Oreochromis niloticus: one gene and its partners. The protein of the gene in region 3 interacts with the protein of the main gene of each other region in a pairwise test. Links are inferred from orthologs where the notes say so. Each region holds a gene or a part of one and is shown on either strand. Other genes may lie near its edges.

The links.
Region 1: the proteins of retreg3 (region 3) and map1lc3a interact in binary tests that used the Homo sapiens proteins (3 or more experiments, as listed by UniProt). The link is inferred for Oreochromis niloticus from reciprocal best matches to the Homo sapiens genes RETREG3 and MAP1LC3A.
Region 2: the proteins of retreg3 (region 3) and abhd16a interact in binary tests that used the Homo sapiens proteins (3 or more experiments, as listed by UniProt). The link is inferred for Oreochromis niloticus from reciprocal best matches to the Homo sapiens genes RETREG3 and ABHD16A.
Region 4: the proteins of retreg3 (region 3) and signal-transducing adaptor protein 1 interact in binary tests that used the Homo sapiens proteins (3 or more experiments, as listed by UniProt). The two-hybrid records come from large-scale screens. The link is inferred for Oreochromis niloticus from reciprocal best matches to the Homo sapiens genes RETREG3 and STAP1.

Annotation. Positions count from the first base shown.
Region 1 is NC_031970.2:3,293,107-3,300,535, forward strand, and holds the start of map1lc3a (microtubule-associated protein 1 light chain 3 alpha), read right to left. Parts: upstream 3,264-7,429; 5' UTR 3,124-3,263; coding exon 3,084-3,123; intron 3,018-3,083; exon of another isoform or gene 1,839-3,017; intron 180-1,838; coding exon 124-179; intron 1-123. Other genes in the region: dynlrb1 (dynein light chain roadblock-type 1), read right to left, coding at 5,749-5,792, 5,929-6,096, 7,371-7,429. UniProt on the Homo sapiens protein: Ubiquitin-like modifier involved in formation of autophagosomal vacuoles (autophagosomes). While LC3s are involved in elongation of the phagophore membrane, the GABARAP/GATE-16 subfamily is essential for a later stage in autophagosome maturation.
Region 2 is NC_031976.2:23,875,948-23,883,625, forward strand, and holds the start of abhd16a (phosphatidylserine lipase ABHD16A), read right to left. Parts: upstream 3,204-7,678; 5' UTR 3,157-3,203; coding exon 3,055-3,156; intron 537-3,054; coding exon 480-536; intron 377-479; coding exon 310-376; intron 1-309. Other genes in the region: g6fl (g6f-like), read right to left, coding at 3,671-3,692, 3,990-4,036, 4,418-4,444, 4,679-4,752, 4,960-5,082. UniProt on the Homo sapiens protein: Phosphatidylserine (PS) lipase that mediates the hydrolysis of phosphatidylserine to generate lysophosphatidylserine (LPS). LPS constitutes a class of signaling lipids that regulates immunological and neurological processes.
Region 3 is NC_031969.2:26,013,530-26,021,011, forward strand, and holds the start of retreg3 (reticulophagy regulator 3), read right to left. Parts: upstream 3,337-7,482; 5' UTR 3,206-3,336; intron 2,996-3,205; exon of another isoform or gene 2,982-2,995; 5' UTR 2,953-2,981; coding exon 2,705-2,952; intron 1,298-2,704; coding exon 1,191-1,297; intron 821-1,190; coding exon 790-820; intron 686-789; coding exon 559-685; intron 1-558. Other genes in the region: tubg1 (tubulin gamma-1 chain), read left to right, coding at 4,430-4,478, 4,838-4,950, 5,222-5,389, 5,528-5,596, 6,812-6,891, 6,981-7,107. UniProt on the Homo sapiens protein: Endoplasmic reticulum (ER)-anchored autophagy regulator which exists in an inactive state under basal conditions but is activated following cellular stress.
Region 4 is NC_031966.2:22,359,644-22,367,324, forward strand, and holds the start of signal-transducing adaptor protein 1, read left to right. Parts: upstream 1-4,510; 5' UTR 4,511-4,838; coding exon 4,839-4,940; intron 4,941-6,617; coding exon 6,618-6,689; intron 6,690-6,844; coding exon 6,845-6,961; intron 6,962-7,152; coding exon 7,153-7,209; intron 7,210-7,681. Other genes in the region: paired box protein Pax-5, read left to right, coding at 1,213-1,347, 1,439-1,461. UniProt on the Homo sapiens protein: In BCR signaling, appears to function as a docking protein acting downstream of TEC and participates in a positive feedback loop by increasing the activity of TEC.

The DNA of each region.
Region 1 (7,429 bases), on a different chromosome or scaffold from region 3:
TCAGACACTCCAACCTCTGCTTCCTGCACTCTGGTAACCTCCGGTTCATCCCAGTGGAATCATCTTTATTCCCACTAACAAAGCTCAGTGAAGTGTGGTGTGATTAGGTGTGAAGCAGCTTACGGGGATCTTGTTGGGGTGCTGCTCACGGATCTGCTGGACCTCTTTGCACCGGTCAGCTGTGGACAAAAGACACAAATGGTCACAAAAACAGAAAGTTCATTTCTTGTTCGGTCGAAAGAGGAACCATCCTCGTTCTTATTTTGAAAGTCCAGCCAATGACAACCAGCTAACTCTGACTTCATGTCTGCTTCCCTACAGTGAGGCTGGACAGGTGGATGATGTCTCGAGTCCTGTAATCAGACAGACTCCAGCTCCACCCGCTGGTGACAGGAGCCATCCGTCACCTCTGTAGGGTCAGTTTAACCAGAACCTGCTTAATGTGCTGCTGCGCTGAGCTCACCAAGGATGCTGTGGCCATGATGGTGACTTCACCAGTGGGGCAGCTGGTTACCGCTCAGTATGAGCTTTTATGAAGGGCGATCGTGGCCGTTCGTCTTGTAATCGGAAGGTTGCCGGTTCGAGCCCCAGCTCCGACAGTCTTGGTCGTTGTGTCCTTGGGCAAGACGCTTCACCCGTTGCCTACTGGTGGTGGTCAGAGGGCCCGGTGGCGCCAGTGTCCGGCAGCCTCGCCTCTGTCAGTGCGCCCCAGGGCAGCTGTGGCTATTGTAACGTTTCATTTCTGGTGTGATGTGTGATTGCATACAGAGATCACGGAGCTGTTTAGTGCAGTGCAGAGATCCATTCACCCACACAGCTGCAACAATTAGTCAGTGAACTACACAGTCAACTGACTGAATGATCATTTTAGTCACTTTTCAGCTAAAGATTGGTTAAAGCTTCTTAAAAGTGATGAAAAAAAATGACATGATAGTAAACTAGGTGTAGTCAGAGAGGATCTGTTTAACGACGTGGCTAATTAACATCAGTCTCTTTGTGTATTTCCCCCTCTTCTTCCACACTAAGTCTTTTCTCTTTTCGAGGCAGAGCTCTGAAGTTTGCATCTCTTCACAGCTTTGCATATCATTATTATGTTAAACGTCTCCTTTAATCCTCCGCAGGCTTCCTTTCAGTACCCATTTAAGCTTTGCAATGTTTTTTTCTTTTTTCTTTTTACTGCCTCACTATCTAATTTTACAGCATGCTGCCCTCTCTGAACCTCCTACTGGCCTATTTCAGAAAAACTGCTTTTCCTTTTTCAAATACTGGTCGGGTTCAAAGCTCAGGTGGCTCAGAGCAGCAGCAGCTGAGTGTGAATGGCTCCTTTGTTTCAGTGTGGAGGTGTTTATTGGGAGCCAGCTACAGTCCTGCTCCAGGTTCTGCAAGAACACCTGTCTTCAGTTTGAATCTAAATATTCAGAAATATTCGTCCTCACTGGGCTCCTGGAGAGAGTCACACCTCCCACTTCTAAGATCAGGCTTCACATTTTCCTTTCTGATAAGCTTTATGAGGTTAGGGCTGGAGCAGGTGACCCTGAACCATCTGTCTGCTCGTCACAGCCTTGATTATACTTTTCACATCCACGAGGACACAAGTGAAAGAAATTTTGCTATCAGACGGTGATTGTTGATTTTTTTTGTGATCGTGAAGACTTGTCCACAGAGAATTTGCATTACAATGCACCAACTACCATGCACCCCAGGCAGCGGCACAACAGGAATGATTACTCAGCCGTTGTGCTTCCAGCCGTCTGTGTCGGCAACTGAATACAACCAAGGCTGAAGTCTGTCTTTATTAATCACGTCTTCTTCTTTCTTCGTCTACCATCAAATTTCAGGAAGAAGATGCTGAAACAATGATCCATCCTTTTTTTTATGGCTAGCAGAGGGCGACTAATCTGGTTGGAGATTTGAAGAGGTTCATGGGAAAACGGCCCCTCAGTAAACTCTTTCCTGTTGATAGGCTCAATCCAAACAAGATGGCGACGGGGCACACGCTCAGCTCAGGGCTTCATAACAGGATTTATGATGGTGCAGTCGCTACGCCCGTCTTCACTAATGTTTACACTGAAATCTTAGTCGTCCGAGAGCGACTTTTTAATGAAGCGTTTAAATATTTGCTGTGTGAGTCTTTTGAAAACATTGTTGTATCTGCTGCAATAAACAGACGACTGGCTGTTTTCTCTTCTGTGGTTTGTTTTGCCCTCCTTCAAAAGGTGGAGGCAGATGGCTGCTTGTCCCTGACAATGGCATCTTCCCATTAAATGGGTGTTCATTCTCCCCACCGTCGTCAAGTGCAGTTCACAGGAGATCATCTGATTGTTGGGGTTCTGGGGGTGTTTACCCTAACATGAACTGGTGCTATATGAATAAAAGTGAACTGGAAAGCGTATTATAGTAACTCCAAGTGTGGTAAACATGTCCCCTGTTGTGTAACTCGTCTGTAATGTGTGTCAGTGTGACACAATGCAAACAGCTGCTAAACAAACAGCACGCACAGGTCTACAAGAGCGGCTGAAAGCAGGTTATAAGCACAGAGCAGAAGGCGGTGAATGCAGCGTTTCTTGCATCTCTGCTGCTTCTCTGTAAATGGAAAGATTATGCAACGAGCCCGACTCCGGGCTCCTCCCTGCCCGGCTCTGGGGGGCTGTCTCTCGACCTCATATTTCAACATAAATCGCTGAACACGTGTATTGGGATAATGTGTCAGCACATGTTGTTTTTCCTTTCAGCAAACACAGATCAGTGAGATGATCCGGCCGTGTAAACGGAGGCCTAGCTGGCTGCGAGCTAGCCGGACAGTGACCCAGATGGCCCTTTAACACCTCTCGGCCCGGAGGATGCTGCCTCACACAGTAAAAACGGGATTTTCACCTTTGATTCGCCACTAAAAGAAATACTCTGTTAGCCTACCTACCCTGGCTCCCGGACACTTGTAGCAGTTACAGTAACCCAGCACCGACACCGTTTGTCTGCACTCTAAATACAAAGAGCTGAGCTAGGCGGCTAACGGGCTAGCAGCTCAGCGGCTGTTTGCAGGCACTTAAGCCAGGTAAATAACACCTTCCCCGGGGCTTTCTTACCAAATGTCCTCCTTTGTTTGAAGGGTCTGTCGGACGGCATCTCGGTCCCGGTTATTAATCTGTTATACACTAATGAATAACGCAATCGTTACAGCAAGCAGCGCAGGTCCGTCTCTTCGGTTCGAGTCTCTGGTTCGTCTGAAGCCAAAACAGCTCCGGACAAACAAAGACAGTAAACCGAGCCTCTGACGTCACCCGCTGCATTTAAAGGGGCCGTGCATCGATCCCTGAACCCAGAGAGCAGCTTTACATTCACGTTAACAGAAGTGCAAAGTTTAACCAGTTATACACCCAAGCCCGTGATTCACACGGTGATTCAGAGTTTAACAGACACAGCAGCGTCTTCATTTTGTACTGAGAGGAAATGATGAAAGGTTCGTGAATCAGCTGTAATGTCAGGCTGTGTTTTGCTTCAGCAGGGGCGTTCCTAGGTTTGTTTTAAATGAACTGGTACAAGGTGGGGGATGGGGTGTCCCAGTGAACTCTGATGGTTTTGTTTGTGTTCATAGACATTTTCTCTGTACTTTTCATCAGCTGTGTTGATTTTATCCATTTTTCTCCTTCTATGATCATTTTGTGTATCATCTTCCATGTTTTGATTATGAATATTTTGTGTTCATTTGCTGTTATTTTTGGATGTTTTTACTTTGTTTGTACTTTCTGCCTTTGTTGACTGTTTATAAAGACAGGAAGGCAAAACTGAGTGTTATTGGGAGAATTAACGAGATATGAGCTGTAGTGGAATGTAATACGAGTACTTTACTAAAGTTTTAATGTAAAACCCCAATTTAAAAAAAATTAAATTGAATAAAATGTAAATTTGAAATAACGAATGCAATCATTTGCAGATCTCATAAACTCATATTTTATTCGCCCATGGGAGATGGGCAATGAAAGGCTGGAAAAGTGAGCAGTGCTAAAAACACAGCTGGAGGAACATTTAGCATGTCTGTGATTCACTGGCAACAGATAAGTAATATGTTTGGGAATACAAATAAAAACTGTGGAACATTTTCAGAATGTTGTTTCTAATTTAAACACTGAATATCTCCTGATCTACAATAAATGATATCCCCGAATGATTCTGAGAATCTGGAGAAATCTTTTTGTGTAAGGAACAAGCCTCAGAACATTTTCTCAATTAAACCATCTGACATGTTTTCTATGTTCTATTGTACAGAAAAATGGGTTTATTAGATCTGCAAATGATTGCATTTTACAGTTTCCCAGATTTTCTGGAACTGAGGTCACGGTTGAAGTAAAAATATTTGTATTATGTTGCTTTTGACTTTTCTTCTGTTATATTTTAGACGCAAATATTTTACTTTGTACTGTGTACAGAACTCCCAGCAGTGTGTAAGAAACGAATCTTGCAGCTGAAGATGATTTTTAAGCGATGCACAAAAGAATGAAACGACCATGAAATGTGAAAATGATTGCTTTTAGCAGACGCATCAGCTGAAACCTACCAGCTGACTCTGCAGTTCTTCTCTGCAGTGATCTGTCAGAGACACTATGACTGAAACATGGCCCTCAGAGTCCTGAAATCAAATCTTTGGCAGAACTACAGCAGCAGACTTTTAACTTCCAGACGTTGAAAAAAAGCTTTTTTAAACTCTCGTTTTGAGGTGCATCAAAGCATTTTTAAACCAGATGTAATTACTGACTCTACACATGCAGTCATGTCCTGTTATTTTCAATAATGAGTCAAAATTAGTGTCCCTCCTACGTCGTAACCCTAACATCAAGCATCATTCAGCAGCTGCTTTTCTGCTGGGTTGTTTTTGGATGTTTTTCCTTGAGGTGACATGCTGACCTCTTTTTATCTCCTGAATGTGTAACCAAGCAACTGGATGATAGTTCAAGTAGTTTTATCTGCTTCCTCCTTTTTACCAGAACACTCAAGTTAAGCACTCTTAGCCGCTGATAGATGCATGAGTCTCTTATTAAACAAGAAAAAAACAAAAAACAACAACAACAACAAAAACCAGTAACAAGACAAAGACACGGGACCGTTTTCAATTTTTGTATTTCAGAATTGTTACAAATGAACAGAAACTTGACGCGAGAGCAGGGACGTGTTTGTAGTGTCGCTCTCTGCTCACAGGTGAAATACTGCTCCTTAACATTTTTAACCATCAAAACAATAAATAACAATCTGCAGTTTTCCTTTAAGGTGGGCCAAATAAAACAAAGCACGTCCTTTGTTCTGCCTCGTATACTGGACCTCTGCAGACCAGCGTGCTCTGCTCCAGTCATATGTCTGCGACTTCACTGCTCACTCGTGTTTCGGCGTGCACGTCTGGCTGCTTGCTACACATGAAATAAACAGTGACATGAGGTACGCGCACGCGCGCGCACACACACACACACACACACACACACACACACACACGCGCGCGCGCGCACACACACACACACACACACACACAGAGGAGTTGGAATGCTAAAACATGGGAAAAAAACAACCCAAAAAACCTCCTGCAGGCTGACTGACCGTCCTCGGGGTCACACATCTCCACCTTCACATCCTGACCTTACAACATTACTTCCCGTGAAAAAGCTTCTGCTAAACACAATTTTTGATTTAACGAGAAAAAGAAAATGGGCCGTTTAAATGAGAGTGATAAAGAGAGCGAACAGCCAGATGTCAGCTCCTTCATCTTCAATCTGATGGATTCTGGATGACGATGAGGAAAAAGTCTTTATCTGTGAAGAAAAAGGCAAAAAAAAAAAAAAAACAACTTCAGGAACGAAACCATCTTAAATGTTCATATCCAGCCGTTTTGGCCAGGAAATAATCCGAATAATGGGCATTTTAATATTTCCCATCAGATGCTCTCACCTGGAGCGATCATGATCTCGTTCTTCTTGGAGCGCACGCGCATGAAGGTGAGGTCGTTCTGGGGGTCGATGTCTCGGATGGTGCTCCTGGCCTTCATCACCAGCTGGTGGATCAGCCCGGCATACTGCACCGTGCTCGAGTTGTCCAGAGTCGACTTGATGGGGATTCCTGAAGGGAAAACACCCAGTAACCACATCACACCTTATTTTACTGGTTCTCTGCTGCTGAAACTGAAGCGTGACAGTAAAATAGATTTCAATTACTCAAAAAAAAAAAAAAAAAGTAATTAAAAATGGGACGAAGAAGGAAAATAGTTTTGTCTTCAGTAGCATTTTGTCCTGTCAGGTTACAGCTAAATTATTTAAATTCACAATTTGATGGGATTCCAGCTTTATTATGTACCAAGGAAAATGTAAGTGTGGTACATTAAAGGAACAGGGCTCAATGAAACCCAGCAGACCAAAACAAAAACATCAATAACAAATACATTTAACAGAGTGAAAAAAGCACATGTGAAAGTTTATATATGAAACAAGCATTCCTGATTTTTATGGAATTATCACAGCTTGAAGGATTGTTTTCCACGAATGACAGTTATGTTTTCTTTATAAACTAAATGTTGTTTAACTTGTTATTGATCAGGTAGTGAAACAATGATCAATATGTGGAAGATTTTTTTTGTATTTAATTAGAGAAAAGATTTAAGTCATTCGTAAACATGAGTGAATGCTGCTGTAGCACTAAGGATGCTTTGTTTCTTTCCTCACTTCTGTTTTCATGTGTTTGTATAAACTGATCACGAATCGCCTTCCTACACATGGCAGTGTGCGGCGTTTTAGCTTACAGCTGTGAGATTGCTCCTTTTTTATCTCTACAGCCTACATGTGTTTGCTCAGCACCACCCAGTCATGTGACAGCACAACAACAAAACACAATGAGGCAGAGAGGAGGAGGAAGAGGAGGAGCAGGAGGACTGTGTTTGTAAAGGGATGTCTACTTTTTGAGGAAACACACTGAAAGTAAAGCATCAAGTATCACGATCTGACACTGACACTGGTACCGATATTATCAATATTATGATCGATCCAGCCGGGTTTTCAGCGTTCCAGGGTCAGTCGGCTGTTTCAGGAGTAACAGGAGGGGAGGAGCCAGAGATAACACCTGCAGGGAGCAGGTTAGACAGGCTCACAGGGTCTGTTACCATGGTAAACGATTAGGGAAGGGTCACAGTGTCTGTTATCATGGTAACCGACTATCGGGAAAAATAAACCCTAAAATTTGCCTCAGTTTGAACAAACCCGGAGTTTATTAAACATGTGTTCTGGATCAGACCCCGGAGGACTTATAGCTGCAAAACACACAGTGGCAGTCATAATTAGAAACACGCAAAGAGCGGAAAGGTCTATAAAAGAGGAGGGAAAACGACATCATTGTCGTCTCACCCTCTGAATTGGCGACGATGATTCCCTGAACTCCTTTCTGGCCCTGAATCCTCTTCAGA
Region 2 (7,678 bases), on a different chromosome or scaffold from region 3:
AATAACAATTACTTTTATTATCAGTTAATTTAGCAATTATTTACTCAAATGTATAGATTAACTCAGGTCTTTTAAACATCAAAAATAGTGAAAATGTCTATGAAACGTTCCCACAGCTCGAGGCAGTGGCTTCAAATGCCTGAAATAATTTCAAATTTACAAAAATAACCTTCCCAGTGGACACTTCCTCCATTAATCACTTATAAAAATCGTTGCTGACTAAATTCCAGTTAACCAGATGATCAACACACACTGACTAACATTTCTAATAATTTCAGTTATAGTCACACAATTCATGAATCAGCCTACCTTTCCTGTAAAGATAGCAAAGAAGAAGAGGAGAGCTGTAGTAGGACAGAGACCATAGTGCTGAAGCCTGGAGGAAGAATCATAAACAGATCACTAATCATTCATTTAATCTACTTCTGTTTAAATCCACCTACTTCTTTCTATACAGTTCATTACAATGTAATACTGACCCAGCCAAGAATGCTGTCAGTGTGTCTTTCCAAACCCCTAGGTTGGTAGTTCCATCCCTGGCAAAAGAGAAGGAAATACTTATCATATCATGCATCAATAGTTTCCCTCATGTTACGTAAAATCAAGTTATTAATAGAAAGAGAAAAGTTCTGAGTTATGCGTGTTCACTCTGCACACCTAAAATTTCTATTACAGCTCTGAATCATGCCGCCTGCAGAAGCTTTCTGATGACTTTGTGGTGGTGGTGGTGGTGGTGGTTGGGGAACTGGTGGATAACTTTATGGCATGGTGTAGCAGGAATCAAGTGCTACTAAATGTAAACAAGACTGAGAAGACAATGGTCAAATTTGAATGTTAACATTACACACAAATACCTGCTGAGCACTTACTTTAATAATCTTCTTCACAACAAACAGAATCTGCATCAGCATCTTTGTTATTTATCTACCTTTCTTATTATAGCCCTTTGCAAAGCTGCTGATTGCTTTTTAAAGTTTGAGTGCAGAGGCTAAATGCTGGAATTACTTATGTAGGCAGAAATATACACCAGCATCATCTGTGGAAGCTCAGCTCAGTCAATGTATGCAACCAGAGATCTTCAAGCAGTCTGTGGTCTACTGGTGAAGCAGCGCTGATCCAAGAAATGCCAACAGGATCAATAAAGTCATTCACAAGACTGAAACAATCATTGGGAAAAAGCTGGACACATTTCAGACAGTGAGATGAAGGTGGTCAATGGACAGATCCCACCATAAAAGACAAAACATCCTATTCTGTCTATGATTCATTACACACAGACAATGAAGCACATTATACAACAAAGTATGGAAACCGAGTGCTGGTTCCAAATTGTCTAGCCCACAGGATTCGTATCAATGGCAACATGTTTTTCTGACAGTTGGAAAACAGTGACATCAAATATATGTCACTGTGGACCTTCTGCACAGCTCAATCTGCAAATCTCTCGTTTTACTCCATTTACAGATCATATTCAGACTCAAAGATAAAATTGATCTGGAATGAAAAAGCTAATCAACTGCTTTAGTCTGACTTAAAGGCAAAATTGATAATGGCATTAGTATCTATCTGCGTTCACATTTCCAACACACTCATTCACCTCTGCTGACAGGAAGAATTAGCTCTATAAAACTGCACACTTGTGTGACAGGTGAACACACAGTTGCACCCATGAACGTCAACATCTTTATATATTCATACATATACTGGATATATTATTCACTGCTTTGTTTTTGCACATCTGTTCTTATTGATCTTTTCCCTCTTCCTTTTAATCATCACCGCATATAGTAAAATGGCCACTTTATTAGGTGCAACTGCAGATAAAACTATTTAGGAATGTAAACAAAGTGAAGACCATCTGCTGAATTTGAATCTTTTTCACATCTTGAATCTTGACACACATGGCCTACAGCTGCTTTAGACCACACCAGGTGCCACTCTTATCAGCTAAGAATAGGAAAGGAGGTTACAAATTGCACAGGCTCGAGTGTGCGGGATATTTTCTTGGTATACTTTGGGCGACTAACTAAGCCTTATTTAAAAACCACAGCCTACCCCAATATTAATGCTGTCCATGTCAATCCCTTTATGGCCACTGTGTACCCTTCTTCCGATAGCTGCTTCCAGCAGTCACCATATCACAGAACTCAGATCGGTTTCTTAAATATGGCAATGAGCTCACCGAACTCAAACGACCTACCACTGTTACCAGAGCTCAACAAAACCTTTGAGATATGGTGAAATGGGAGATTCACATCATGTATGTAAGGCTGACAAACCTGCAGCAACTGCGTGATCCTGTCATAAAAGTATGAACCAAAATCCTTGAGGAATGTTTCCAGCACCTTGTGGAATCTGTACCACGAAGAACTGAAGCAAAACAGGGCCCAACCCGATACTAGCAAGGTGTACCTAATAAAGTGTGTTAGTCTATGTAGAAGTGTATGTATTTGATGCTGAGCGTCGAATTCTTTAGATCTCCCGCTCTCATTTAATTTCTAGGGTAACTTTTAATTCATTCTTTTGTGGTTGTGGTGTAATTTCCTTCGGGTCACTCTTATCTTATTCGATCTATCGTTATTCATATAAGTTAGCAAACGTTAGCTTAGCTGTTAGCATTATAATTTGAAGACAGAATGGATTTTACAATTCTGTCTTCCCAAATTCATTTTTACAGTTTTTATGCCTTTAAATTGTCCCTGTTTGAGTTTAATATTTTTATTCAATTTATTTGTTTTCTGTTTCGTTCCTCCTGGGTTCTTCTCGGCTCCTGGCTAGCGTTAGCAGTTTGACATCATTAAAGATAGATTGAATTTAAATGACCGCTCCTTAGACGACGAAACAAAACACAGCGAGACCAAGGAAAGCGTGTCGTTGCGTCCTTGTCTTTTCATTCATTTCTAAAATGTCATTGCGATGCAGGGTTTCAATAACAAACACCTGACACTTCCGGGCCGCAGCTGCAGCTAAATGGAAGCGAAAGGATTAATTATTGCTCAATCTTTCGGACTCAGCAACTTCAAAAATCATGCAAAATACTGTACACATCCGTACCCTTCTTCCCGATCTCCCGTCAGGTCGAGATTGGTCCGGGGAACGATGAATTCGTTGAAGATGAGGCCCTAAAACACAGCGAAGCCACATCCAGACGGCCATTCTTCCACTACGAGAACTACGGAAGCCCGTACCCACCAAAATCTCAAACGCGAAGCGCTCTCAAGAATTTCTTGTTTAGAAATAAAGGCAAGAATTACAGCCAAAGTCTTTATTTAAAAGTTTAGTATACATATTACTTAAAATAAAATTATTGGTACACATATTATTTGCAGAAGATTATAATATTGGATAACAGCAAATATGACTGACAGCAAGGAAATTCATGAAAAGATCATTTGACATACAGTAGTAGGATACTGTATCAACTGCTATACATGCGTGACAGGTTTTGAAGCATTTCAAGTAAAGAATGTTTTAACTTTACTACTTGACAATAGCTTAGAATACAGTAAACCATTTAAACAATTGTGTAGCATGTCCCTAAAGCACTGAAGTTTTTCTTTAAATCCAAACTCTGACATTTAGCCGTTACTTGTGTTTAAAAAGGCCTTCTGCAGCAGCTGGGAGCTGAGCGGATGTGACAGCTGGATACGGGGGAGATGTGGGTAGGTGATCAGCTTTGACACTGTTCGTATCTGAAAACAGAATGCAAAGACACACTCACAAACACACACACACACACAAAAATCTCCAGTGCCCCAGTCTCTTTTATTCTTCCTTAAACACAAACACAGACAGCCCACGCAACAACAGCACATGGGTGAAGGAGTGCTGCCTGTCAGCGCGTGGCGTGATATTATGCCACAGTGTCAGAGTGATTTTCAGGCTGGGGTGATTGGTGAGTGTGAGAAGAATGTGAGGGGCACATGAGTGACAGTGCAAACACACAACATACAAAAGCACACACAGGTGATGCAACTGTGTTTGCTTACCGCTCCAGTTCCTTATAGACATCATCCTCTCCTCTTGGCTTCAAATCCTGACATAAAGAAGAAAGGGGAAACGGGAAAAAGAGAGAGAGAGAGAGAGAGAGCGTGAGAAGGAGTGGGACAGAGAGGAGAAGGATAAAGAGATGTACTCAGGCCAGATTTATGTCCCTCTGGTGTGTAATGAGATTGATTTGTTAATACCACTAATGTAAGGGTGACAGTTGATAGGCAATGGGTTTATCTGAGAGAAGGCTGATAGATTAGAGGAGAAGACTGGAAGTGAGAAGGAAGACGTATCTGCTGACAGCTTAGGGAGGGTGCAATAGAGAGAATGAGACTTTGTATGCACTAGTGAATGTGTGTGTCACAGTTACTTGCACAGACACATGCAAGCACAGTGCCTGCATGTGTGTGAGCGCATAATAACTCACCATGTAGACTGGACCCTGGGGAGGGGCCTGTTGGGAGGGGAAAAAACTGGTTTAATGAACATCAAGTGACAGAGAGGGAGGGACACTTGAAGTCGGAGGAAAACAGAAGCAGACGAGGGAAGAAAAACATAAAAGTGCACTATAGAGAGAAGACGGTAAAGGGGGAGGGGAGGGGGAGGGAAGCAAATACCAGAGGGGCGATGGAGAAGAGAGGAAGATGAGGGCAAAAATCATCAGGAGGTATTTAGTTGAATTCATCACCTGTCTAATATCTTCAGGATTCTCATAGATGTTCTCTGCTTCACCCGAGCGGACAGACAGAGACTGCTCGATACCTGAGTACAAAAAGACAGTTACTAGTGTACACACACAAAAAAAAAACACACTCGGCTGCACAGGGATGGAGGAGTGGGGTGGGGGGCAGATTCATTACAACAACCCCAGAGGATGTCACGGCCCAGATCACTCAGTGGAAGCCAACAGGGGCCGAAGATGGACGGAACACGGAAAGCTGTCAAAAAAGAAAACGCCGGAAGACTCACCGCGATCAGAAATGTGTCTCTGTCTCCATAGCAACACACCGACAGCTGCGGCAACCAGGGGCACCAGGAGTAATAAAGCAGCGAGAGAAGGGTGCAGGGAGGAGGTGGTGTCATCGACACTCTCTACAAAAGGAAAAAGTGAGAGAAAGAGAAAAGAGAGAGAGAAGCATGATTTTTTCCAAGAACGGTGCTAATATAAAACTCAGAGAGCGGTGATGGTGTGCGGTTGAATGACATTAAGGCTGTCCAGGAACTTATTGCTGTTTGCTCTCCAGTTTGTTCTAGTCGAGCAGGGGGGGAAACCTTTTTTTCTTAACACTTGGAGCTATATTTTAGGACATTTTGCACTTCCAATTTCCTGAACACGTTACATGCATTTGCATCATACTGCTGTCAGTCATAGACAAAGGGTGCAGTGAAATAAGGCGAGGAAATCGAGACTCGAGACAGAATGAATAGTCTGTAGAGCAGCTTCGAAGACATCGATCTGACAGACCCTCCGTCTGGACAGTAAAGGCTGTCAATTTGAAGCGTGGATGAGAAGACGGAAAGCAGCAGTATCAAGGAGACCAGATACTCTCTGATCATTACAACAAACAACAAAAACTCAGCAAAATGCCACTTCCACACAAAGCTGTGTATGCAAAAACGAAATCCTAATTATTCCATTTCTCATTTTCTAAATATGATGTAGGTAAAGTCTGGAGATGCTTTTCTTTGCACTCCCTTGACATCTGATCCCTGCGACAAAATGCTTCTAGGCAAACTGACAAACAATGGGGGATTGCAGTCTTTCAGCCAATCCTGGCCGATGCAGTATTGAAAAACAGGTGGTTTAAAAGCGTAGGCATGATTATCACAAACATTACATAAGCACAACATTAGCTCACTGTTGTACAAGTCAAATTTTGTGGGAAGAGCACATGCGTGCGATCAAACTTGTCAGGATTGTTTGCATAATGACGGTGACATCAGTCTTGCAAAACACAGCCACCGGGAAACATGGGAAGCAGCAGGGTGGCGCCTGTTTCCACAGAGATTGCGTAAATTAGTGCACCTGAACAAGCGCACCGTTGTCTGTCTACTCAACTGTAGACAGAGCACAAAACAGTAAGATCTAACAAACGTCTTTGGGTTACACAAGAGAAGCCTCATTCACTCTCAATCGCTGCAAAGACTGATTATGTAATTACATAATTAGCAGAATTTATGATTAACTCCTTCATTTAAGGTTCTCCAAAGGACAGAAAACAGGTGAAAAGTAAAGTTCACTTTCACCAACTTTTCGCAAATTTAGTTTGAAAGGGGATTGGCTCTTGGGCTTCACCTTAGCCCCCGTGTCTCAGCTTTTAGCCAGCTTCAAAATAATCAATCATTATGTGCTGTGTGAGGTGTAATTGATTGGTGAGTGAGTGTAGAGGTTGCTAATGGAATATTGTAGTGAGAGCTGACCCCAAGACTGACCTGCTCTGTTCTCCATGCCAGCTTTAACGCATGAATTATGGTAATTGAGCACAGTGAAGTGAGGCGTAAATGCCCCCAGTTTCTCATGACCACTTGTCCTCTTTTCTTTCTTTCTTTCTTTCTTTCTTTCTTTCTTTCTTTCTTTCTTTCTTTCTTTCTTTCTTTCACCTTCCTCTATATCTATACTATTTCTTTCCCCCATTGCCACTTCTTCTTTACCTCGTCTATTTAATCTCAAATAAGGTAGGGAGTGATTTATATTATTGCAATTGTAGGGAGGAGTGCCTGATAGGAGGCTGACTGAAGAACTGCTTGAATGCTTTGCAAACGATGGACAAACTGAAGATAGAAAATGACTGCAGAAAATCCCTGACATTTGAAGTATGTTGTGTGCTCCTCAGCACAATAATTGGTTCAATTCTGCATTCTTTGAACTGTGCCACCGGTGAAAGAATTTTGACAGTGCATTGTTATTTTACCTCCTACACCATGCACTCTGCTTGGCTTACATTTCAGTTAATATCCTAAAATTATAAATATAAATATGGGTTGTTTGCTGCACTAAAAACTTGCTTCACTTACTTCCCGCTCAAAGCACAAAAATGATGCTACCCGAGATGTCTTCCAGAAAAAAAAAACAGTTCAGAAACCTTAAACTGTCACTACTTATTGTCACATTATCCATTATTAACCATGATTTGATTTTTTTGTGCTATCTTGCACTATTGCTGTGTTTGTGCAGTCTGCCACTTTTCAACAGAAAAAAAAATGTAGGTCATCCAACACTCACATTATTTGAATTTTCACTCTGCTCAGTCTAAATTCCCTGTGACATGCTGGAAAAATGCAGCGCTTGTCATATTTATTCTATATACAGCTGCAAGAAATAGTGTGAATTACCAGAATTTATGAGGCGATTACTCATAAAATGTGGTCTTATCTTTATCTAAGTCACAATTATAGACAAATCTGATTAAAAATAATAACAAACACAGAGTTACCAGCCAGAGTGCAGGCTGAAAGTTGTTACACTCTTGAATTTATTAACTTGCTGAACCCCCTTTAACAACAACAATCTCCAGCGGATTTTTTCCTGTGGCTGCTTCTGAGACTTGCACATCTTTGAGATGCTCTTGTTTTACTTCATCAGTATTTTAGGGACATCTTGATTGAACAGCCCCCTTCAGGTCAAACCACAACATCTCAGCTGGGTCGAGGTCAGAACTCAGAATTGGTGTGATGTTTGCAGGACGCC
Region 3 (7,482 bases):
TAAAACAATGATAAAACAGCAATAACTGTGATTTAACTGGACAAAGATAGCTGCTCAGTAACTCTGATGTTATACAGGAATATAACAAGAAAACAACCAGCTGACTAGAACGATCTATTGCAAAGATAATCGTCACATATAAGTTGTGTCCATCGTTACAGGCCGACTCCAACTGTTTGTGTTTACAAATTAGACATCAATTTTCTTCAAGCCTCTGCCAATCTGTCTTAAGTCCAACTTGGACTGTGACTGGGTGTTGCCTCCTAACAGGTCGCCTTATGATTAAAAAAAAAGGTCTCCCAGAGGTTGATGGTTGAATGTTTGAAGGTTGCATGCTCAACCACTTGGTGACAAGTTGCTTGCCGAATGTGGAAAAATTCTGTGCAATCATTGGTCAACCGCCTATTTTTCCTCTAGTGTGACTGAGTTAATAAACCAGTGAAGGAAAAAAAAGTTAGAAAAGGATAATAGGTAAATCAAACAGGGATAACTTAAAAATCATACAACAGGTGTTGTGATACAGAATGAAGTCATTGTGTTATTGTGTGTAACCCTCACTGTGCCAGGATTTCGACGCTTGTACTGCACAATACTGGATTTGAGAACCACTCCACTGACCCAGGCCTCAGCAATATGGTGGCACAATTCAGGCACACTGAGGGTGCCAGGATGCACCAGACCCCAGCTAGAAAGGGACACAATCATTTAAACTTCAACTCCTTATCATTCAACTAATGCTGCAATATGAGAATAAAAAAATAATTAAAAAAAACAACTGTGGGTACAAACCTCTCATTTTCTGATTCATCCAGCTTTCTGACTGTGGAGGGAGAGAACATTCATCACTTTAAGAGACATTAAATATCACTGTGTTACATTATGTATACATTATTTAGACATTTGCTTGGCTTTCATCTACAGTGTCTTCGGGATTTTAAAAACCACTGCCAAAGATGAACTGTTTCATGACTAATACAGACCACTTTCAAAGTCCGGAGTGCAAGGCTGCTGACTGATGTCATATTTATTCTAGGAACAAAAGTACATTTGCTACAGCCACAGTACATTAGGGATTGAATTGGCTGCATTTTGCACAATCTATGACATTCCAGGAGTAGAAAAAAGGAAAATGCAGAACATGTTGCATTCTCTTAAATATACAAAGACCGCATTGAGACAAAATTTAGCACCTCTAATCTCTGGCCAGATCTTATTTCTCCAGGTATCTAGACAGACGAATACAGCCATGCCAGATGCCAACAGGAATATCAGGCGCAGTGAGGTCAGAGCGAAGAACCTGGCAGGGGATAAACCACAGAAAACACATGAACACAGTGCATCTATTTCTTGCTTTCCCAGGCATAAACAATCACAGAGCTATGTAGTTAAAAAGTTAATGCAAAATTAATTAAACCGCAAGACGGTCTGAGCGAATTCCATTTATTATTGTCAAAAGTAAGAAAGAAAGCCCACCTTCTGGTGTCTTACACAAATTTATTGTAAACCAGAAGGTTGGCAGTAAGTAGAGTATTTGACTGTTTTTTTTTTACTCCACCCACTACTGCAATATCAATTATATCAATAAACATTTAGCTGATATTAATCCAACAGACTAACAGATGTACATATTAAAAAATGTGGTCTAACTATACATAAGGTTTCAGGTTTTTTCCATCTTTTTGCCTTGTACACAACCCTAACTAAATCCCCACTGCTGCTCCATTTTCAGATCACAAGACTCCAAAATGTAATGGGAACAACAATACTGCAGGAATCTGCCAATCACCGGTTAGAGATTAACCTAACAAAGAATTTGCTGGCAGAACAAGGGGTATCAGTATTTGGGTTAATGCTGTAATTAGAAGTGACAGTAACAAAAGCAATGTGAAATGTTTATGGAAAGTTGGGTCACCGAAAAATGAGAAAACAACAAGTGCTCAGCACTGAAAATGCAGCTGGTGGTTTCACAAGTTTGTCATTCGCCACCTGTATGTTGAAAATCAGGACAACCCTGTCCTACTGTGAGAGTGGCTGCCCTTGTTAATGTCTAACTTTCAGTCACTTTGGGGTTACGGCTGCATCACTCTGGGCTGAAAATGGCCTGCACCATTACGTGCGTGCTGAAGCAAAAGTAAAGCAGATGCAGTGCAAACGTTCTGAAACGCTTGGTGGTCTAATCAAATTCAGGCTGAATGCCAGAACTCTGCAAACATGCACACCAGTCAGGCTTTCTTTCCATGTGTCAGGTCAGTGATCCTTCCTGTACATCTAGCAATACCCAGCTCAACTAAGTAAGGCAAAATTTGGCCCAGTGAAACACTCAAACATACTTACATATTCATATAGTGAAACAACTTCCCCCCCTTATCCCCATGACACTAACTGTAGATTTGACCTCTACAGGCTCACTGGTAAAAGTGGTAGAGATAATCCACAGCATTACACTGATTTCAAGATTAAAAGCAACAGTTTGGAGAGCATAAAAGTTGAGTGAAAAGTCCCTGCAGAGTGTGCATAAAAATAGTACCGCAACTCAGCCAGCTGCTTTATATTGAACTGACAGGCAAAATATTTGCATTGTGCATAAGAACCATCTGCTTCCAGTCACGCTGTCTTGCCTCTTGGTTTTGTCTGCATGTCGGCAACTGTAACACAGAGACACTGAGGAAACATAACTCACAAACTAACATAAGCTAAAACTTACCAGAACACAACGTTGATCACAATGTAGAGAAGGACACAATGAAAGGGTTTTTCCCAGACCAGGACAGACTGCAGGTAGGTCAGGACAGGCTCATAGGGCCCCAGCCTGGACTGGAGAGCAGCTTTGACAGCTCGTACTTGGCCATCTCTTTCGCTAGAGCATGAACGACTTCGAAGGCAGATATCAGCGCTCTGATTAGCAGAGCAATCCCCCACATCTGCCCCTTGCATTGTTCCAGTGTGAGTCATCTTAGCGTCCTACTGCTGATAAAGTAAGCCTGTAAAATAAAGACTTAAGCTAAGTGGAACCATGTAAACAGCTTCATGAGGGGCGCCACAGCGCCGCTCCACTAACATTTATGCTAACGGATTTTTAAGCTAAAAGCAAATGACGCCAGCCAAACCACTTTATTATGGTCTAACAACACACATTTGACTATATTAAAATAAAATATTTTATCAAAGCAAATGGATAAACGTTTCAAAAGCAGGTGACACTTACTATTTTGTCATTTTTTTGCAGAAATGCGGCGCTCGACTCGGCGAACTTACAATATGGCGTTACCTGTTTTTCTGAGCCGTCAGCGGCCCAATCACAATCCACTTGGGCCCTGCGTCATGAGGCATTCAGGTGCAATAGGAACATCTTTGCTTATTTTGAAGCACTTCGTTGGCAAAGTTGAAAATTAAAGAGCCATTGCGACTGTAATTTTACACACCAAAAACCTAACCCATTTTCGATTAAGCTGTCCACAACAACCCACTTCTTCCCTCTTTATTCATCATGATTTTAAGCCTATTGAAAATATCATCTCGTGCAATTCAATACTTACGACCTATTAATGAAAATGGCTTGTTATGAAAAGAACTTTACTTCCCTGTCTAAATAATCTAAATTTAACTGTATACCCGAAAGTTTATTTAGCTACTGTAATTTATCTCATAGACAGTAGGCTTACAGTTGAGCATTTTAAAACGTGTCTACACTGTCCCCTTCTGGTCACATTCTATAATGATATAATATCTATAATAATAATAATAATAATAATAATAATAATTATTATTATTATTATTATTATTATTACATAATGTTAATAATGAAAGGATATGCAGCAGGTTAGAGTGATTACAGATGGAAGCTGTACTAAAGAGTGTGCCGAGTACTTTGAAGAGCTGATGAATAACGAAAGTAACAGAGGGGGAGACATGGAGGACAGTTAGTGAATCAGGAAGGGCAGAGGATTAGTAAGGAGGAAGTACCTATGAAGAGGATGAAGGGGATGAAGAGTGGAAAGGCAGTTGGCCAAGATTACATAAGTGTGGAGGTATAGAGATGTCTATGAGAGTGGAATTTTTTTAACCAGATTGTTTAACACAATCTTGGAGAGTGGGATAATAACTGAGGAATGGAGAAGAAGTGTGTTGGTATACATTTTCAAAAATAAGGGAAATATTCAAAGCTGTTGAAAGATGATGTAAGGCAGATTTTACGGTTCCTTACAGCACTACACACTCCGACACGAACGGTGGCAGCACACGTTTAGAGTCGCCTTGCGACTCGCTAACCTACAGTAGAAGAAGTCTGCTTGAAGCGTCACTGCAGGACCAAGCGGGAAGGAGCGGGCAGAGGTGAAGCGGTGTGAAAGCAGTGGCTATTTTCTTCTATTATTTAGCTAGCAGGCAGACTACAAGAGCTAGCTAAATAAGGGGCGACTGAAGACGGAACATGCCGCGGGAAATCATAACGCTTCAGCTCGGACAGTGCGGAAACCAAAGTACGTGCAAAGACGTTGATAGCGTTGAAACCGCTACAGCTTTTTTATTGTTAGCTGTGCGAGATGTCATCAGATTGTCATGTATTCTGCTGTGTAACGACAGTAGCTAACTGCTAATAATAAGTCGAGCTAACTTTAAATATAACAGAAACAACGACCTTGTATCCTAGCTTACCTATTGGCTAATAGTGTCTATAAACATAATGTTACTGTGTGCATATTGTGTGATTACCATCAGGTGCCTTTATGATATGCATTTTATGGTAACGGGCATCCGTGCATTTAGAGTAAAGTTGTACCAGTTTGAGTAGTCAAAATGAACATGTTTTGTTTACTTGTTCCCCCTCCCTGTTACTCAGTCGGATTTGAGTTCTGGAAGCAGCTGTGTGCTGAGCATGGCATCAGTCCAGAGGGGATTGTTGAGGAGTTTGCTACAGAAGGGACAGACAGAAAGGATGTATTCTTCTATCAGGTAAGTGGAGCAGAAGTATTCTGGTTCATGGCACATAGTCTCTCTTGCTATGTGTTACAATCGGCCTACATTTTCTGCACCGCAGAGTGTACAACGTCTCCAGTCCTCTATGTGATGATGCTTCTATGTAGCTGAAGTGCAACCATATTATTTGCGACTAGGTGGCATGCTTGTATAGTAAACTGTAAGAACCAAGCTCCTGCAGGGAAACGACAAGCTCAACACTGCAGTGTTTTCATCTAACCGCTTGTTTTTGATTAAAACCCCAAAGGCTGACGATGAGCATTACATCCCGCGTGCAGTTCTCCTCGACTTGGAGCCCCGCGTGATCCACTCCATCCTTAACTCCCCATATGCAAACCTGTACAACCCAGAAAACATCTACCTGTCTGAGCATGGTGGAGGTGCCGGGAACAATTGGGCTAGTGGCTATGCACAGGTGATCACCTGATATAACCTACCTACTTTTCTCTTTTTGTTTTTTTTTTTGTTTGTTTGTTTTTTACCCTTACCTCATTAATCTCAATAAAATTTTTAATAACACATCTAAAATCTGCTCTGGATTCTCTACCTCTAGGGAAAAAAAATTCAAGAAGACATCTTCGACATTATTGACCGAGAGGCAGATGGCAGCGACAGTCTAGAGGCAAGTTTATCTTTTATCACATACCGACTATCCCAGAGGGCTGGGACGATTGAGGCTGTGGCAGTGTGGAATTTAAAAAATTGATTTAAGAGTAAATTGATACGGATGTGTGTAGAAATATTACATTTTTAAGACTAGCTTGAAACTGTAGCCTAAACCTTATTCATGCATTAAAGTGTCAGGTATTTGTTGTTAATGTGAGGGGATTACTTTTGAACCTGTTGAAATTACAGGGATTTTCTGTCTGATATGGATATACTTACACCTTGTAGCTTGTTTTGTGTTTGTTTGTAGTTTTGTGGTCATGCTGCAGCTCCATTTGTCTCTTTGTGATCTGTGATCTGGTTAACTGGTAATGTCTGTCATCATTTTGTGTCGCTCTGTGGTCATTTTGTGTCTCTTTGTAGTGGAGCAATTGGTGTCTCAGTGTCTCTTTGTTGTCATTTTGCGATCATTTCGTCTTTCTTTGTGGTCATGTGGGCACTTTTGGTGTCTCTGGGGTTGATTTGTGTCTCTTTTCAGTGACTTTTTGGAGGTGAAGCTCAGTCTAGACTGAGTAAACCCATTCGTTGTCTGAATACTGTTATGGAGTGGTGGATTTTACTCAGGCATGATTTCTCTCAGTCTTTAAGGCTTGTGTTTTGTTTTTGTTGTGGTAAAATGCATGTAGAAATGAATGACTTGATAGAAACGGCATGCTAAAATGGTGCCAGAGCCTGTCATCTTAAAACCAGCACAGCCCAAGCCATGCCTCACTATTATTCTTAGCGTCCTTTTTTTTGGGGTGAACTTTCTTCAGCTGCCAGCCTCCCATAAAATAACAGTCACATTTCCCTTCGAAGGTCTGCAATTTCTGTAACTCATTCACATTATGACCCCACATTATTATTTAGTGTGTGCATTGGATAGGAAGGTGGGCCGAGCTGCTGTGGGCATGTGTATGTTGGCAGGGTGTGGCGTGCAGTATGTCTGGTGATAATAGCCGGGCGAGTGAAGAAGGCAGGTATTACTGGGCTGTCTTGGGGGGGTGAGGGAGCCTATTTGTAAGGTGGGGCTGCGTTCCCATTTATATAACTGCAGAGGAAAAGAGGCATTTGCACACCCACAGGCACATTTAACGTTCTGCTTCAGAAGAGTTCACAGTAAGGTTCGCACATGTGTGGCGCACGCTGTAGCTTGAAATTGAAGGTATTGAGTGATCCTTTGTCTTTGTAGGGATTTGTCCTGTGTCACTCGATTGCTGGGGGGACAGGCTCGGGGCTTGGATCCTATCTCCTGGAGAGGCTCAATGACAGGTCCGCATGCACATACTCAACTTGATCCCTTGTATTTCTTTTTCTTGCAGTATAGTACGAGCAAATAATATATAATTTCTGTCCCACAGGTACCCAAAGAAGCTGGTACAGACTTACTCAGTCTTCCCAAACCAGGATGAGATGAGTGATGTGGTTGTTCAGCCATACAACTCACTGCTGACGTTGAAGAGACTCACTCAGAATGCAGACTGCGTGGTGAGCAGCAGCATTTTAAAAAAAAAAGGAAAAAAGAAAGGATACTAATTAATCCCATTGCTTTCTTGGCATCATTACACACCCATGACATAAATAATCTCACAAGATGGCATAAGGATATAGGAATCAGCATTTTTGGAAACCCTATAACCGTGCCATGCAAAATAAAGTTAAAATGAACCAAATTGTTCAGCTATTCCACTGAGCTTAAATGGGAAAATAAAATTTAACATGTTGAGATGAGATGTCTTAACATGTGCTTACAGGCCACTTTATTGGGTACAGCTGTTTAGTTTCCTGTTTATGCAGACATCTAAAAATCCAATCAGATGGCAACAAACCAATGCATGTTGTGCATCTAGACTTGGTTAACAT
Region 4 (7,681 bases), on a different chromosome or scaffold from region 3:
CACTTCTACTACCAATGCTGAATATCTGGACCCAGGAAGCTTTAGTTTCTGTTTAAACAGATGATAATAGAATATAAGGTCAAGTCCAGGATACACCCTAGTTTGTCAGCCATCATGGATGGGCAGATAGTAAACAGCCATGAACTGCAAGAGATAAAGCAACAACTCTTCATACCAGTGCATTTGACTAAACAACTATGAGTTTTATTTTTGTTTATTTTGAGAAAATTGGAAGATAATCAGATCCTGAGGTCACAGAAACAGTTAGTGAGGGATTGAGGAGGATGTCTGGCAGACAGTTTGTGGTGATGTGGAGCTGAGAGAAGGTTTAGGCTATGCTTGCATAATTTCTTTTTCTAAGTGCTATTGAGCCCTGGGAAACACATTTGGTGAGAGGGGTTAGAAGAGAGGAGAAACTCTTAAACTGTTATTATTGTATTTCATATCGAGTCATACAAACTTCTCATCTGATTGTAGTCATGTTGGTGTCACAAATCTAGAAAGGTTCATATCTGCTCATGAGCTTGTGCCTCTGGAGAGGTGCACAAGCTCAACCCCAGTGACACTAGCTGGATAAGTGGTGAAGAATGTAAAGTTTCCCTTTTTGACCAAATCTCCACATTGTTCAGATGCCTTTGAAAGTCCTATTTTTAATACCTTTCCAGATTTTTTTATGCCCCTTTTAAAAAAAATCTTGAAGTTGTACCAAGAAAATGTCATTTCTGCAAGAGAAATCAAACACATTGTTTGAAATTGCACGCTGAAGACAAATTTCAGTGGCCATTTCTTTTTCTATTGTAAGAGCTCACACACATGGATGTATTTACAGAGCAGGCTCAGGGTTTTCTCCGCAGCTCGTGACCACATGGCAGACTGATGTGAAAAGCCAGCGGTCTTATGTTAATATTAGTCTGACTAAAACAACCTCCGCGGCAGGAGGTCCACCTCAGCTCCCCAGGCTTCTGTCCTCAAAGCCAGCTCCTCGCTGCCTCCTCCTCACCTTGGCCTCTCATTACAGGCCCATATACCCTCACTTCTCCATCACTGCAAACATTAGAAGAGGAGATTGCATGAACAAATATGCATAGTTACCCCTGGAAACGCAGGCATGCATGTGTTTCATCATTCGTCTAATTAGAACAAGTGAAGATAGAAATGGAGATAGGAAGGGAAATAAAAGTGAACCTGAGCTGAAGCTGTTTTGTTTTCCAGCGGGGGACATCTCCCGCAGTGTGTACCAAGACCAGCCGTGTTCATGTTATGACACCTGGGGACAGCCTGACCCCTGCATGATCTCTCTGTCCAGCTTAACCTCTTATACAAGCCTGCCAGCTAATCCAGAAATGGGTCAGTATTTACTGAATTATGATCACTTATCTCTCATATGAGGTCAGCTTTGATGTGTCTTCCTCTCTCTCTCATACGTCCTCTTGTTTAGGACCTTTGTGTCAGTGCAGCTGAATAAGGAGCCTTGAGAAGAAAGAATATCACCGCTTTAGTGCCACAAACAGGATGACTGCAGAACTTGTTTAACTGTAATTATATTTATTACTGTCACTGAGATAGAAATCTGGATCATAATCGAAAACATGTGGAAATAAAACCAAGATAACAAGCCTCACCTTTCATGTTTTATTCACATTATTTGAAGCAAAGAACATGCTCGCCCCACGAAGGCCTAATAGAGCTTCATCAGTCCAACATATTATTCCCCATCCCTGTCGCCCCTGTGGCCACTTTCTCCTCTGTCAGTGGTATAGGGTTAGCATCATTAGGGGCCTCATGATGGAGAGCAGAGACTGCTTTCTCTCCTTTGTGTACATCTCCCTGGCCTCCCCTCTAGGATGAGGGATTAAAGTAGAAGATAGGAGCTGCTAGAAGGAGCAGTGGGGTCAAAAAAAAGAAACACTGCTGAGAAAGAAATCTGCTCAGCAGTAGACATCAATCTGCATGAAACATGTAGAGAATATTAACAGGATGACGAATGTGTTTTGGTTTTGGTTTTACTATGCATATCTAGACACGTGCACAAATCCCTCATGCACCACAAACAATGTATGAAGCACCATAGCAACATCTGTGTGCAGATAATTCAGCATGTGACCGAAATAAACCAAAGCTATCAAATCAGCTTCACCTTTAAACTCAGAAACCACAATTCTGTTTATAAAGCCCCAAATCACAACAACAATCACCTCAAGGTGCTTTATATTGTAAGGTAAAGACCCTACAATAATACAAAGAAAACCCCAATAATCAAGCACTTGGTGACAGTGGGAAGGAATTACTTCACTACTGTACTGGGATAACAAAGTGGAATCATTCATCACAATGCCATCTGTCTAATAACAGTTGTGAGTTGCTGTAGGTCCGATCGAGGGTTGCCTTGTTTGTTTGTGTTTGTGCTGATGTTTTTTTCAGCCATTAAGCTGTCTTATTTCTTTCTCTTTTTTTGATGCAACCCCATCTGACTTGTCTTACTGACTGTATCTTGCTAGAATCAAATAAGAGAGCATGGGGTAAAGTATGAGAAAAGGGAAGGGGTTCTACATTATTCTGTGTTACATTATGTAAGGTAAGAGAAGTCAAAAAAAAAGTACAAACTTATTAAGTGTGTGTACTCTGAAATGTCTCAGTTAGAGTAAAATCTTTTCAAACTAAGTTTTTTTTTAAAAAAAAAAAAGAAGCAGTAAGTGGGGTTTTTCAGCTTGCATCAGTAGAGGGCAGCACTACTGTGAGTAGTTTGTCTTGTAAAATGACTCTGTACCAAGGATGCATTAATGGAGCTAGTAATGCATCCACACCCACTTCTTAGCCTGACAGCACAGCTCCAGAAACACTTCAAGCTAAAACTCGTTAAGGCAAATCACTCAGAAGAGATCCTACAGCAATAACACTTGATGGGATTATGAGACAGTGGAAAAAATGCAAAGGCAGACAACCCAAAGAAGACTCTTATTGTAATGTTCTGATCGCTTTGTTATGATACAACAGCAGCCAGTGTCTTAATCAAGTCAGTTACTATAGTGACTGTAACCCAGTGTCACTGATTCCAGATGTGTCTCAAGAGGTTTTACAGTCTGTACATATTCTTAAACCTGTCTGGATCAGGAAATAGGAAGAACAAACCTAAGCAAGGCTTATAAACATAATAGCTGAAAAGCTAATAAATCTATCTAACATTCTTGACTTGTACTGGTTGAGCTTTATTAATGAATTTGTCAGTATTACCTGAAAAATTCATCTTGGTTCAAGTCATATATTGTTTTTTTAATACCTTTTATTTTCTTTGCAATTACCAAATGTATCAAGAAGCCCTAGTTAAACATTCCTGGCAGTGTGGCTGACAACTCTAAAGCAAAAATGCAGGAAGTGTCATGCAGACAGACACGTGCAAGTAATTCCTCTAAAATACATTTTAGCTGAACAGCTGCTCAAAGGTGATGTCTGCTGAGCTTTTCATGTCTGTTTTAATGGCCGCCAATGTCACCGCCTGCTATCATACTGGCAAATGTCAGGGTTAAAGGTTAATATGCTGCTTGGCATCAGTTAAACATTAACCATGTTCACCACAGATTCAATGCACTTGGAAAACAATGATGTTTTGTTACCTCCCCAAATCCCAGACAATCTGAAGTAAGAGCCTTCTGCTGGTGTTATTAGCTGCACCTGAGAGTGTTACATGTAACCTTTATGTAACTGTTCATAAACTGTAACAAGTAGCATAGACACACTTCCACTGAACTCATTAATACAGGCCATTTAGTGGTAACTGCTACCTTACTACTCCTGAGGACAATACGATGATGTCACTTCAGCTATAACTAATAATCTATATAAATGTATAGCTAACACTCTGTTATTTCTGTTATCCGCTACACAATATCAGAACTTTATTTATTTATCTAGCTAGCATCACTGAATTTTAAGTAGTGATGCAGGTTTCAGCAATTTACTTTTTTTTAAGTTTCAGTCTAATTTTGCCCTTGTCCTTTACACCTTAAAATATATTGAAACCATCTTATAGTCAAGTTTAAACCGTTCATGTATATATTCTGTGTATTGTGTATTTTAAACTTTGTGATAAATCTGTCTTAGTAAATGAAGCCGTCAGCTCTCACACGACAAATCCTGCCAAATGCTTTTAAACAAGTGTTGCTTATCTTCTTTAATCATGTGTTCAATTTAAATATTAAGCTGACTTGCAATATTAAGAGCTTGTGCATGCGTGTGTATGTGTGAATTCCTCAGAATCTGTTCGCAGTCCCTTTTACACTTAAACTTACTTTTACAATTAAATTCTAGGTAAGAATTTATTATGTTTGAAGTTATGATAAATCTCCAAGAAATAAGTGTAGTTAACTGAAATAATCTTTGAACTGATGTGAACGTGTGTGTGTGTGTGTGTGTGTGTGTGTGTGTGTCTGTGCGTGCATAATTTATTGTGGTGTAAAGCTTTTTAGGGATATGCTCAGGTCCAAAGTACAAAAGCACAAGTTAGTATGAGAATTCTTATAACACCAGCTACTTCCTTCTTTATATATTTACCAACGTTTCCTCATTCTGAGGGAGAGGACAGTGCTGAGGCTGAAGGTGGGGGAAAGAAAGGCTTATCTTTGTACATTTATGACCTCGTGATCAAAGCTCTCATATTCTGGACGCATAGTCTTAATTCATACCTGCTTTCAGAGCCTCATAAGGAAACAAAATCAGAACAAAGCTTTTCCAGGACTCAGCAGTTCGCCCTTGACTAGTGACTGCACTGCAAGACATAGGCTGAGCCAAAGCTGAGCCAAACCAGGGCAGAAGAAGACGTTGACTTGAGAGACTACTGGACAATGTCAAGGCCCCCCAGAGTTGTCCACAAGAGGAGGGAGACGATCACAGCCTTGCCTCTCTACTACTCCGGACACCTGCTGAAGAAACACAGCAAAGACACGGTAAGAACGAATGTGGGGAATAAACACGAAGAAATGTAAATAATTAAGAGTAAAACCAAACAAAAGCTGCAAAAGTCTATCAAAAGTAAGGACTCATAATGGAGAATTAGCAGTGTCTGGATGTTACTAAATCACTTATACTGACTGACATTATTTTAATGCTGTAGTTCAGAGAGTTGGGTCTTACTGCACTGTAATGTTGGTTACTGAGTACAAGCTACATATTTGATCATTAATCTGCTAGATTACATAAATTTGTGTAGCATACTTACTCTTGGACTACTTTAAAAAGTGGAGACAGAGCAAATTTTGTGTTACACTACGTCAAAAAACATAAAAATCTTTTATGTCTGTATTCTTCATGCAGTCGGGACTTTCAGCAAACACAGTGCTGTGGTACACATGAATTATGTAAGACACGTTTTTATGAGTTTGTTTTATTGGTTATCGAAAAGGTTTTATAACTTTAAAATATTTTAATGGCATGAAAAATGTAGAGAAGCAACTTTTGATATTATTATTCAAATGTAATCTGGGCTGACTGCAGTTGTTTCAATCTGACGTAAACTGTTACTGCCTTATTGTGGAGAGGGGACTAAATGTAACCACCTTTTATCACCAGTGGGTGGGTAGCTCGGCTCTGACGGTGCATCATATTTTATAATGGTAATCCAACAATAAATATACAAGACATAGAGGTTTGTTTGTAAATACCTCATCTGTAAATTATCTTACAGCCTTTAGATAAGTGTAAATACAATCATGTGACAAAGAGCATTTCTCGAAAAGCTACAACCTTAATGTTTCCACAGGAGTTAAGAGGGTAAGAGGCAGCCATGGGCTGTTAATCAAATGTACTTGATGAACTGATCATCAGCAAGAGTTTTAGCAATTTGCTAGTCTGGACCATTCTGGTGTGTTTTAAGACAATCTACCCGGGAGTCGACGTCTCATCGAGATCAGAAAAATTTCAACAACAACCAAGAGCTACATTTCAGACTCTACAGGCCTCAGTTAACGTGCTAAATGTTAAAGTTTACACCAGAGCAGTTAGAAAAAGACTGAACAAGTAGGGCATTTTTGGAAGGGTTGCCAGCAGAAAGCCTCTGTTCTCACTAAAGCAAACATGGCAGCACAGCTTTGATCTGCAAGGTTGCATCTGAACAAACCATGAGACTTCTGAAACATCGTCCTTTGGACAGATGAGACCAAAGTAGAAATGTTTGGAGATAATGTACAGCAACACGTTTGGAAAAAACAAACACAACATATCAGCACAAACACCTCATACCGACTGCAAACACGGCGGTGCAGGTAGATGCAAAGTTCACAGGACCTGTGAACTTTGCAGATACTGAGTTGACTATGAATCTCTCTGTATACTAAATATTAAAAGAGACAAATGTGAGGCCATCTGTCTGACAGCTAAAACGTGGCAAAAGTGGGTCATGCAACTATACAATGGAGAGCACCAAATCTACTAAAGAATGGCTGAAAAAAGAAAAGAATCAAGGTGCTGCAGTAGCTCAGTCAAAGTCCAGATAGCAACTAGATACCGAATCACGAAGTGTGCATAGTTTTCCACATGACTGCGTAGCTGAAAAACTGAAACAGGTCAAGTGTAAGCAGTTTAAGTGTGCATCTAAATGCCTGACATGTTCATCAAATGACTTTCAGGATTTCAAGAAATACTATGGAGAGCTCCGTGGGTGTTCGCTGTTTCTGTACAAAGATGACACACAGGATACAGTAAGCAAACACCTATGTTTATTCACATTGTGCACTTGACTAATTACCTGAATCATCTTTTGAAAATATGTGGAGTGTTTAATTCCAAGAATTAGGAAGTAGCTTTGAGGGGCAATAAGGAAGTGCTGCGAGCACTGACCTGATTTTTTTCTCAGTATACAGAGAAGTTGGACCTGGACCAGCTGAAGTCGATGGAGTCAGACTCTCCATATCAGAAGAAGGAACCCACTGTGTTCACCCTCAGCCTCAGCACAGAGAAGGTGCAACTTAAGGTCTGTTGTGATAAAACTCACTTCAAATGATCCAATTACATCTTATCTTATAATTAATCACTGGATGGATCAATACTATACATCGCTCTAGCCAAAGTGAAATTAAACTGACTGACCTGTTTTCATCTTTTTATCAACTGTGTGTGTGTGTGTGTGTGTGTGTGTGTGTGTGTGTGTGTGTGTGTGTGTAGATGGACAGTGCAGACACGGGAGAGGTGTGGAGGGGTTTCATCCTGACTGTGGTCAAGGTGAGCAAACACACACCGATCTAATTGATTCAGCACAATTATTTCCATTTATACAGGATATTACACACACACAGTGATGTAGACAGTGGTATTTAAATAATGTTCACTTGGTATAAATAAAGTCTGACGTCCTTCGCATCATTACCGCACAGCAGAAATCGAGACCCAGGCAACATTTTTCTGTTCAGTGATGATGACCCTCAGTTTCTAGTTTGTAGCTGAACGCCTGGTGTTGTCTTTTGTGATTGGATGTGTTGTGCATTCAAAGATGCTCTTCTGCCTTAGTTGTAATGAGCCATCAGCTATGTGGAAAAATCCCAAAAGATCAGCAGTTTCTGAAATACTCAGACCTGCCCATTCAGCACCAACAGCCAAGTCCAAGTCACTTAAATCACCTTTTCTCCTTCTCAGTTTGAATTTCAGCAGGTTATCTTGACTGTGTCCACATGCATGAAATGTGCTGAGTTGCTGC